Linked DNA regions of Drosophila melanogaster. The protein of the gene in region 2 purifies or fractionates together with the protein of the main gene of each other region. This does not show direct contact. Each region holds a gene or a part of one and is shown on either strand. Other genes may lie near its edges. The genes, in order: atms and hyx.

What was found.
Region 1: the proteins of hyx (region 2) and atms purify together in Drosophila melanogaster (affinity purification with western blotting; 2 studies listed by BioGRID, with this or other methods). This does not show direct contact.

The regions. Positions count from the first base shown.
Region 1 is NT_033777.3:4,748,252-4,753,294, forward strand, and holds the start of atms (antimeros), read left to right. Parts: upstream 1-1,783; 5' UTR 1,784-1,803; intron 1,804-2,157; exon of another isoform or gene 2,158-2,542; 5' UTR 2,543-2,635; exon of another isoform or gene 2,636-2,697; 5' UTR 2,698-2,825; exon of another isoform or gene 2,826-3,357; coding exon of another isoform or gene 3,358-4,339; intron 4,340-4,545; coding exon of another isoform or gene 4,546-4,714; intron 4,715-4,788; coding exon of another isoform or gene 4,789-4,943; intron 4,944-5,043. Other genes in the region: CG44098 (uncharacterized protein), read right to left, coding at 3,358-4,339, 4,546-4,714, 4,789-4,943.
Region 2 is NT_033777.3:9,037,094-9,043,034, reverse strand, and holds hyx (hyrax), read right to left. Parts: upstream 4,276-5,941; 5' UTR 4,113-4,275; intron 3,881-4,112; coding exon of another isoform or gene 3,856-3,880; exon of another isoform or gene 3,564-3,855; intron 3,365-3,563; 5' UTR 3,074-3,364; coding exon 2,943-3,073; intron 2,868-2,942; coding exon 1,724-2,867; intron 1,565-1,723; coding exon 1,402-1,564; intron 1,335-1,401; coding exon 1,193-1,334; intron 1,131-1,192; coding exon 1,094-1,130; 3' UTR 686-1,093; downstream 1-685. Other genes in the region: Nmdmc (NAD-dependent methylenetetrahydrofolate dehydrogenase), read left to right, coding at 1-183, 251-378.

The DNA.
Region 1 (5,043 bases), 4.3 Mb from region 2:
ACTAGCATTTTTAAATGGAAAGTGCACCATCTGGAGAGTGGAAATTTCAAGAGACAAATATATAGAAGGAAGAATAAGTAACTTTTGATTTTCCCTTGGCATACCCGATTCCCTCGTCCGTCGTCCGCCTTTATGGTAATTTTCCCGGACAAGGCCCTCGGTTTCCGTGTCTTGCCCGGCTTATTGCCCATTCTCCTATGGCTATGGCAGATCGGGGAAACTGGTCACCTGGGATGGACAATGTCCGGCGGACACCGATCAACTAGAGAACTCTCGTTCGCGACAGCTGCCTCAGAGCTAATAGGAACAGCGAATAATGGAAATTTATATGTACATATGTATTTACGATGAACAATTGCGAATAAAGAAAATAGCAGAACAGCCTGCGACGCAGCATACCCACACATATGTACAAAGTACATAACCGAACACACACATATGTACCTGTAGACGTGTGAGTTGAATTATGCCTCTGCCGAAAGTGGCTGCATTGGTACATCGCGGACGGAGCACGCCTCCAAGTCCAGCTATTAACTTACCTTAATGCCGCCATCGTTTTTGTTGATCTCCCGCAGAACGCCGCGACCACCAAATCCCATTCCTAGGCCATTTTCTGCGTCGTCGAATTCCATGGCATATGTGTATCCCGGCAGGCAGCGCTCTTCTACAGGCCGATGACACAGTTAAGCTATACGTTTTCGGATAAAACTCTTATTTATCGCAATATGAAATTGGTGACGCGAATTTCCAACGTTGCTTTGGCGAAAATGCCGCTACAATTTGAAGAAGCATAAGTGACAGTGTGGCCAAATTGCCAGCAGGGAAAAAATACCAGAGGGCAAATGTTACCTAGCATGTTATTAATAACATTATTTAATTGCACTTACACAATATTTCGATCTATGAATGGTTAAATAAAATCCAAGTTTTTCTTTATTTTTTTTTTCAACGAATTTTCAAGTAAATGAAAGTCGGTCAAAATAAAGAATTGGAATTAAAAAGGGAACAGTAGCTTTGGTATTATTACCATAATCACTTTTGTCACCGAGAATATAATGTTTGCTACCTACTTATGTAGATATACACAGTATTATAATACTGCATTTTATATTTCTAGCACACGATACTTGAAGAGTACAAGTCAAAAGTTTAAAGTATAACACAGGTAGATCGCATATAAAAGTTTTCAAGTACATTATTGTGCCAAAAAAAATTTTACATTTGACACAGTTAATACGCTTTTTTAAACAAACATTTGACACGCTGCAGTAAAATATTGATATTGGATATGTTGTATTGAAGTAGTGACGACTGCTCAATTTTTTTATGTAGTGAAATGTAAAATCATCTTTTATCACAATAAAGTTAAGATGTGTTGTTGTTTGATATTATTTTTATAAAGAATAACTTATAGGAATATATTTCGGAAAGTGACCTTATATAACAACGATTTATATGCATCGTATTGTACATATTTTCGGAGTCTGCCGTATTATTAGCGCAGAAAGTCCAAATATTTAATATTAAAGTATAAAACTAGGCACTTCATTCTCTTAAATCCATAAACGAGAGCACTTCTACTCGACGATTATGTTTCTCTTTATTAGGGCTGGCAACACCGTCACCCTATTTTGTTGCCTTCTGAGAATTGTAATGCAACCGCGTAACTCAACGACTCAACCGTTCGGGATTCCGAAAAGTTATATATTTGGAAATTTAACTAATAGTGAACAAGTATTTATTTATTCTTAACCAGGATCGGTCCGTCCATGTCCGTATGAACTTCGAGATCTCAGGAACTATGTATGTACATTAGTACGCATGTATAAGAGCTAGAAAGTTGAGATTGGCCATGAAGGTTCCAAACTTCGGTCCTATCGATTTGCCAGAACACTTCTTGCCACGCCCACAAACTGCCAAAGATTGCTATGCCCACACTTTTAGGAAATGTTTTTGATTTTCTTATTGGTTTTGTAAATTTGTACCGATTTACCAACAAAAGCAACGCCCCTTCTGACGCCCACAAACCGCCCACACTTCTACAAATTTAAAACTTCTTTTTGTTTTAATATATATTTTTTTTCAATTTCTATCGATATAACAGATATCCCTCGTTAATTAAACAAAAAACAAACAACGATAAAAAATAAATCAATTCGTTTTTATGATGATGCTTTATTAGAAAAATATTGCTCTTTTGCCATGTATAACACTTCCTTTTATGTAGTAACCAATATATGATAACATTCAACAAGTTGCTAAGCGTATTCACTAGGTGATGCAACTTTAAAAATATTATGTATTGTAATTTATGCCTTGTGTATTTATGTAGAGCCTGAAAACTACTAATTGTTTTATTTTAAATTAGCTTGGTAATTGATAATTACAATACGTAACGAATGTAAATTATTCAATGTGTAGGTTAATATTATTGTTGTTCTAATCAATTAGTATTATTAGATTAAGGTAATTAATAAAAGTTGTCCATAATATATAATTATTGTGTAACTACTCGTATGTCTTTTCATGAAATTCTCTCCAGGTGTTTACAACACAATCACTTAATGTGGAACCACAGGCCTTTAGAAGGATCACCATTTAAAGATGGTTTGTCTGTGCAGTGAGGTTCGATTCGGTACGTTTTTGATTTGGTTCAATAGTGACTGCTTAATACTGGGCTTTCTCCTTTTTCTCAAGGTGTGCTCCACATCTGACTTACTTTCTTATGAGACTACTAATTATGGCTGCGCTGAAGCTTATCCCAGACTTGAATGATTTAAGGTCTTCTGAGGATAGCCTAAATAAACTAATCCCTAAAATTAAAGGTAATGGAAAATATATGTATGGGTTTGGGTTTTGTCGGCGAGCTTATTTATCCATTTAAAATAATTTGCTCGAGGATTCTATTCCACAGCTTTAGCTTAAGTGTTGCCTAAGGTAATTTTGTTTTCAAGTGCGCGAGACTTTCTCACTTGAGCACTCCGATTTAGGTTGAAGTTGATGTACGTACTACAAAAGTGTGCGAAAATTCTAGTAATATATTGACTCTTCCTCTTAAAAAGGATAGCTAATGTGTCTTACAATAAGTGCGCCCATAAACTTATAAAGCGGGCGCATAGTATATACCGCTAACAAATTGTATAGACTATAGTTTACAAGTCACAGCACCACCAAAGTGAACCAGATCGCGGCCATAGCTGTGAATCTAGCAATATCTTAACTTTTTGAACATCTGCTTCTTTCCCTCAGCATATGATTTATTATCATAGAGGCTCCACTCCTGGGCTATAGAAAAATTTCTATATCTTAAGTCCAAACACACCGCTAATTTGTCAACGCACGCTTTCTGAAGGCAGTTCACATGGGTGGGCCATCCTCGGTTATCTTGGTCGTCCAAATGCCGGGCATCAGTTGTGGAGGTAGATTCGATTGCGGCGTGTTTAGTTTTAAAATAGTGCTGTTCGAGTGGATGGTCTTCGAGGTGGGGCTGTACCCCTTGTTGTCCATGCCGTCAATGATGGTGAACTGCGAGGTGATGTTTTGGGTTCCCTGTGCAGCAGGCGAGGAGGGTCTTGAGATGGGATGGGTCCTGGGACTGCTGATCAGGGAGGTGCACAGGCCACCGAGAATGGCCAGAGATGCGAAGGCCGTCTGGGGAATGAGTTGGCCGAAGACCACTGTGGATCCAATAAAGGGCGCTCCCAGCAGCCAGAAACGGGCCCAGCAAATCGTGGAGAAGGAAGTGATCTTCTTCTTGTCATCGGAAACCAGCTCCACCGTGCAGGTAGTCAGTATACTGAGCGTAGTGGAAATGGCCATCTTCGAGACCATGGCAGAGCACATCAGCAGGGCTACATTCGGATCCAGCCCAATTACGCTGGGCTTCGGGACCAGCCAGCCGCAGTAGGCAATGCATCCTGCCACGATGTTAAAGAGTCCCGTCCACAGCCACTTGCGGGTGGTTTTCAGAATCAGGAAGAGCCCGAAGAAAGTGCCCATCATCTCGCTGAAGCCCGCGAAAAAGGTGTTAATGTACAGGTGGTCGCGACTGAAGGAGCGGATGTTGAGCAGCATGCCGTAATAGACCACAATGTACAGCGACCAGGCCAGGTGCACACACACAATGTGTCGCACCGCTCGCTCCCCCTTCCACATCGACCACCAGCCACTCGGCGGAGGAGCGTCCATGGCGGTCTGCGCCTGCAGCTCCAGCTGCTGGTCGATGTCGTGCGGTAGGTTGTAGCCCGTCCCATTCACCTCCACGCACTCCAGCAAGATCTTCTTGGCGTCCTGTGTGCGTCCGCGGGCGATAAGCCATCTCGGCGAGTCGGGAATCCACCTGTAAAAGGGATGCGAGACGCAAGTGTCAGTATGGGCCACAAAATGTTGGTACACATGAATGCTGCACAGCAGTTCCTTTTTGGGCTAGTAATCCTGATAATAAATGTATTTTATGAGGGTTACTTATAATACGTTACTTATGCGAATCTAGATAACCCTCTAACTCTATGAGTTTGCTATCAATATCTGTTTTTGATTACTCACTGCCACAGATAGATTAGTATCACAGTTGGCCACGAGATGGCCATGTAGAGGTGGGACCAGCTGGACCAGAAGCTGGCAACTCCGGGCAACATCATTACCCCAATAGACCAGAACTGCTCAAAGAGTGTGGAGACGCAAGTTCGGTACTTTCCCCCCGTTATGTCGGCCACTGTAGTAAGGAGCAAATAATTAAAAATTCATTAGACATATCCATTTACATTTAAACTAAGTCTTGCCACTTACTGATTTGGCCTCCGGCCGTGTACATCTGGGCACAGCAAACGGCGGAGAGGCACCGGAAGAACACGTGGAGCTCGTAGGAGGCCACGTGCCCCGTGAGGTTACCACAAAATATCTGCGTGATCATGCCGAAGAGCATCACATTTCGGGGACTGAAACTAAAAGCGGGAAAGGGAAATATACGAACACAAATTATCTTTATTCTTTTCCCCAGATTATTGAAGTTTAGATATAAACCAAATGTACGCTAACTTACTA
Region 2 (5,941 bases):
CGCCCAAGGAACTGGCTCGCCATTGCCGCCAAGCGGATATCATTGTGGTCGCAGTGGGAAAGCCGGGTTTGATCACCAAGGACATGGTTAAGCCCGGAGCCTGTGTCATCGACGTGGGCATCAACCGCATCAAGGATGAGAGCACTGGCCAGTTTAAGCTGGTCGGAGACGTGGACTTTGAAGGTGTGTGGCTGATCTATTAAATCACTAAAGACCAACAAGATTGATTCATTTCCTCATCACTTTGCAGAAGTTCGCCAGGTCGCCGGCCACATCACTCCTGTGCCCGGCGGAGTTGGTCCCATGACGGTGGCCATGCTGATGCACAACACGCTGAAGGCAGCCAGGAAGCAGTTCGATGATCGCAAGTCCTCCTGAAGATTCACCAGTAACTATCGTGCTTCGCTGGCCGAGAAATAGTATTTTTATTTAATCCCCTAAACCTATATTAGATAGTAAAGTTACTGACCACAAGCTAACATGACATAAACCCACATATTTTGCTATATAAACAGAAATAATGAAATACTACTATTTCGTTTGATTTATGACTTTAACGATGGGAGGTATGAAAAAGTTCCAATATATGATCTTTGAAAAGGTTAAATAATTGAGAAAATATACTTGATGACAGCCAAATAAATTCCAATTATGTTACCTTCTGTTTGAATAACCGAAACAGAATGGCTTTTAACTGTTTATTATCACTAAAAATACAAAGGATACTTGCTCTCAGATGTTTGTGTTTTGTAGTTTACATTGTACAATTTGAACGAAAAACTTTATCTTAACTACTAACTGCGTATTTGGGCCTATTTGCACGATCGCAGGCCTGCGACTTATAATGCTGTTGCCAAAAGCGAGATAATCCTGGTCGGGCTCTAATCGGAAACTCGCACTGGAACTGGCCAAATGCCCCAGATTCGGCTTGGTGTCTTTCCTACGGAAGTTGGGCGCACACTGTAACATACTATTTGCGTCGTTTGTTGCATAATGTAGTACAGCCTGTCTATAATAATGGTAACTACTTGGGAGTGGGATTGAAAACAGCAGGTGTCGTGTTTCAGCAGAACGTTTAAGAATGCGGTGAGGGTTAATATCGTAAATCGGGCTTGTACTTGGCTATATATCTAAAAAGATTGCATTGTAAATCTTTTGTAACGAAATGGTGGATTTTTATATAAGCACTTACTTGTCCAAAGTTTCCCAAAATTTGCTGAGCACTGCCCGATCCATATGACGCTTGTTTTGCGATAGTCGGAGTAGCGTCACTGACCAGCGCTCCACGTTTGAGTCCAATTTCATTTCGCTAAAGCACAAATGAAAAGCGCAAACTGCAGTAGGTAAGAAAATGAGACTTAGTGAATTAAACTTAGAGAGCTGGGCATGATGTTAACTAACTTTTTGAGAATATATCGACGGGATTGCCTTCCCAAGGCCAGCCCTTGAACTGCCACTGGGGTCCCATAACGAAGACGGCCACCACCCGTTGCCACTCCTGTTGCGAGAGCTTGGTGGGATTATCTATCACCCGGTAAGACACAGTCTGATTGTTGCGTTTTCGCTATGTGTGAATAAAAGGGAAAATAAATTAGCACTGGTGTATGCCAACTCTTATCTTTAATATTTTAATAGGAAATTGAATACATCTTCGGAAACAAATGCTGTAAAACCTTTTGGTATATAAACCATTTGGAAGAGAATTCGTTACATTAAATCGCACCTGTAACAGCACTTCGCATTCGCGCTGGCAGCCCTGCAGCTTTTTATCCGAGGTGGACATGAAGCGCAGTTCCTGCAGGATATCCTTCGCGTTGAGCATGGTAATGAGGCTTGTGTTGGCAGACGGTATGATAATAATGGGGGTGCGAGATGTTCGCTTCGATGGACCATTGGCGGGCAGTTGCCGAGCTTGGGCCGCAGGTAGCAATTCCTTGGGCCGCCCGGCGGCTGCTCCCGCTATTACACCCGGTGCTCCCGGTAGGTTGTTAGCCTGCGCCTTACGCTGAGCCAGTGAGCCCTCCGTCACGGATTTCAGCGACATACCGTGGTATGTGCCGAGCGTGTCGATCTTAAAGCCCTCGGTCTCCTCCTTTTGCCGATTGAAGCGCTCCTGGTCGTAACGGTTGTATTGCGAGAGCTGCGGTTGTGGTTTGGCTATTCGAGCCGGCTCCGGCATCTTAATGGGATTGGGCACCTGTGGACGATTGCGTCCCTCCTCGCGCGCCTTGATGCCCTGAAGCATAGCAAAGATGTTCTTGGCAAAGATCTTGCCCGTGCTTTGCAGAATCGAAGTTCGCGTGCGCCACTGCCGTTCTCTGCTGATAATGTCCTTTGTGGAGTCCACATCATAGTCCAGGATGGCACGCAAATCAGTTCCCATGGCCTCGTCATTGTCCGTCCTTTTAATGGTCGTTCGCTTGTTGGCCAGACGCTTTGCCTTGATGGCGGCGATCTTCTCAACGGACATCGTCTCGGACAGCGACTTGATGTTGTCCATGTTGACAGCGGTCTCCTTCTGGTTGACATCCCATCGGGCGGCCAATTGCTCGCGCACCTTCTGCACTTGAGTCTCCTCGAAGCGGGCCTTCTTGGCAGCCACCTCAACGCTGGAAGGTTCACCCTCGGCGGCACGCTTCACCTGAGTGGGGATTTCCAGCGGGGCACTCTTGTCGATGCTGGCACACGTTGGCGTCTCGCCATTCAGATAGGCCAGGAGCTCTTTACGATCCGGCCGATTCACAGCGGGTATATCCTCGGCGGCGCACTGTCGCACGTAGACCGAGTGTTGCAGCATCACATTCTTGAGCAGGTACAGCAGGCACTCCAGCGTGTAGTACTCACGTGGAGCGCCCTTCTTACCGGATCTAATCGACGGGAGAAAAGTGTAAGAGTTAGTGGCTAATCCTAGTTGTCCCACAGGTCGTCCTGACCGCACTTACCCATATTTGAGATAGTTGGTCTTCACGCTCTTCGGCCAGGAGAACTCGCCGAAGATAATCTGGCTGTCTCGCTCGACAATCTCCTTTTTGTTTATGTTGTACTGCCGAAGCAGGCTGAGCGGATCTGCCATTTTTCTGCCGGTTTTCTGTGTGTTTTCGGGCGGCGGGCGTGTGTGGTCGGTGTCGCTCTGGAAGGCGCGCGGCGGCTACGCACTTTGTAATCCGCGAAAGATATATAAACAACTTCGATTCTCGCTTTTTATGGCATATTTTTAGTTTTTTGCCAGAGGTTGCGTGGAGTGTGACCGTAGGCGGGGTGAAAAATACCAAATATCATAGAGAGTGCATCGCTTCTCATTTGGTATAAATCGCTGAAGTTTCGTCTTTAAAAAATATCGCACTAAGTCACGGCTTTTCGTATCCTGTGATTTGTTAACAATTAGTTTTCTTAATGGCACGTTATACAACGACAACTCTTTAGAACACTTCACATCTTCAGGAATTGGCATCATTAATAAACGAAGTAAATGACTTTTCTAGCGCGTCTAGTGATTTGTTTATTTATAAATATTGTATGGTATATTCTTGTGTGGCAGATGGCAAAGCTGGACTGTCATGTTTAAATACTAACGCGGTCACACTAAAAAAAAGCCTTGCGACCGGCAGCTCCATCCAAATAACAATTAGGCAAAGCTTTAAAATGCATCGCATTTAACGCCTATGATTCCGGAAGTGAGCTAGCCTGCCAATAGCACACGATCGGCTCACGGTGCACATAATATCGAGCTTATGCGAGGGCTGGTCTACGTGAAAATTCAATGCCAAAGAAGCTGTGTGTGTCCTAGTTGTTGTGGCTGTTGTTTCTTGTGCCTTTCGGGAAGCGAAACACGCAATTTGTGATTTTAATTAAGCAATGGGTCAGTCGGCTGGTAAAATAGGTAAGTAAACAAGGCTTGATTTAACATGGGATGTCGCGTAAGGAGGATTTAGCTTGTCTGTCACCTTACAACAAATAAGCCGAATCGCCATAAGTTGGTAAAGTTTCTATTTAAAATGGAATCCTAAAGTTATAGTAAAGTGTATTACAGTTATAAGCCCCGCTTGAATATGAATTAAAAAACTATGGGCATTCCAATAGGTTTGTGACCTTCCCACCACCCACACACTCACATGTTGGCAAACAGCTGATCCCCCTTAGCGATGACACTCGCTGGTTTCGCGTTAGTGTCGATAGTTTTTGTTACTTGATTTTAATCTTACAGGTGTAAAACCTGATTTTAACTATAACATTATTTCTGTTGGGATTTAAAACCTAATATATGATATCTGTGATTTCAAAATATTTCCTATTAGGTTCCTTGAAAATATTTTAAAAGCTCGTGTGATTTTGAAGCTTTTCCATTCACATTCTATCCATATGAAATAAAAAGACCAAAACAAACGTTTAAACGTTTAGAAACTGGTGTAACGTTGTGATAATAAATTAAACTTTATTTATTAGAGGTCATCCCCAAAGAACTGACCATAAAAGCAAAAGATGTATAACCCATGCAAGTACACTTAAACAATTATTCCGAGCCCGCCTATAGAGATATCAAAGTAGTAAGCAGCTTAGGCTACCGAAAAGTCAAAAAAAATAAGGTGGTAAAAATTTAAAAAAGAAGATTTCTACAAATCCCGACATAAAATCAGCTCAGGAAAATAAGTCTGATTGTAGGACGCGAAGCTTGGCGCAATGGACATCGTATCCTTACAGGTGTATTTTACGGGGATTGCAGAACTGCACTTACCTGCTTAACACATCCACATCATCAGGGACTCCATCGAATCGTATCAGCTTCGATTAGACCCAAGATGCCCATGCAGCTGTGGACAATAAATTATAGAGTTTATGGCAATGATTTCTCACAAAACGGGCACAAGACGAAGGACGAAGGATCGCACAAAGGCGGAGGAGAGAATAAGTAAACCCCAATAGGCGCTCGGTTCAGGTAGGATCACCGAGTTGTAACTCCCTGACCCTGAGACAAAGACACATGCTGTGGGCTGGAAACCCGCCAGGAACTTCTTTCTATGACTTGCCAAATGTCCTGTTTGCATCGGAGTAACCGAAAAGATATCTTCCAAGCGCAGATCTCGCATTTTTCATGGGACAAGGGAGGTTTTCCATTTTACGGGCGGGAAAAAACTGCAATATGAAAACCGTGAAAGCCGAAACCCCCTGAAAAGGCAAACATTTGGCCAACAGAACGTATATTTCTCTAACGGAACGCAGTTTCCCCCGCATGTGTTGCATTGGCGGTTATTCCTCGGCGATGTTGATATTTGATTAGCGTACGCACGCGAGGATGCGGAAATGGGAAGTGGATGTGGAAGTTTAAGTTGCAGTTGGCAAATGGGATGCATTCTAGTTCCCTTTTGTTAGATCTTGATCGGAGTTTCGGGATGAAGCCAACTGCTGTCGCAGGTATCCTCAAAATATGGAGGAGTTCCTCTGAATAAGTCAGGTTTTTTGAAGAGAGTATATGGACGGCAAGCAACCCTCGGTATGGGAATCTTTAAGATCTACAAAGACCTTCTTCTTTAAAGCTATGTAGAAGATGTATAATACTATCTTGTCTGCAAAGAAGTATTAGAATTCTATTAGTAGTATCTTAGAATAGTTGTCAACGTGTAATTTTAACCATATCCTCAAACTCTGTTCTCCACAATATAATATGTACAAACATTCACTATACCCTCGATCCTTGCAGACTGGGAATACATATGGGAATACCTCCTCCACTATTGCTCTGTTTCTCAAGTGCTTGCGCAATTTTGGGTTCTGTTCTCCTGAATTCCCTTTTGTGTCCGCAGGATTAGTTCGGGTATTTATACATATGTATGTACATATATATGAAACACGACAACTGCTCCTCAAACGGCTCCTTCATTTTCCTTGGCCTGTCTGAAGTCCTTTCCCTTTTCTTTTCCTTCGAACAGCACTGCCTTTTCCCCAT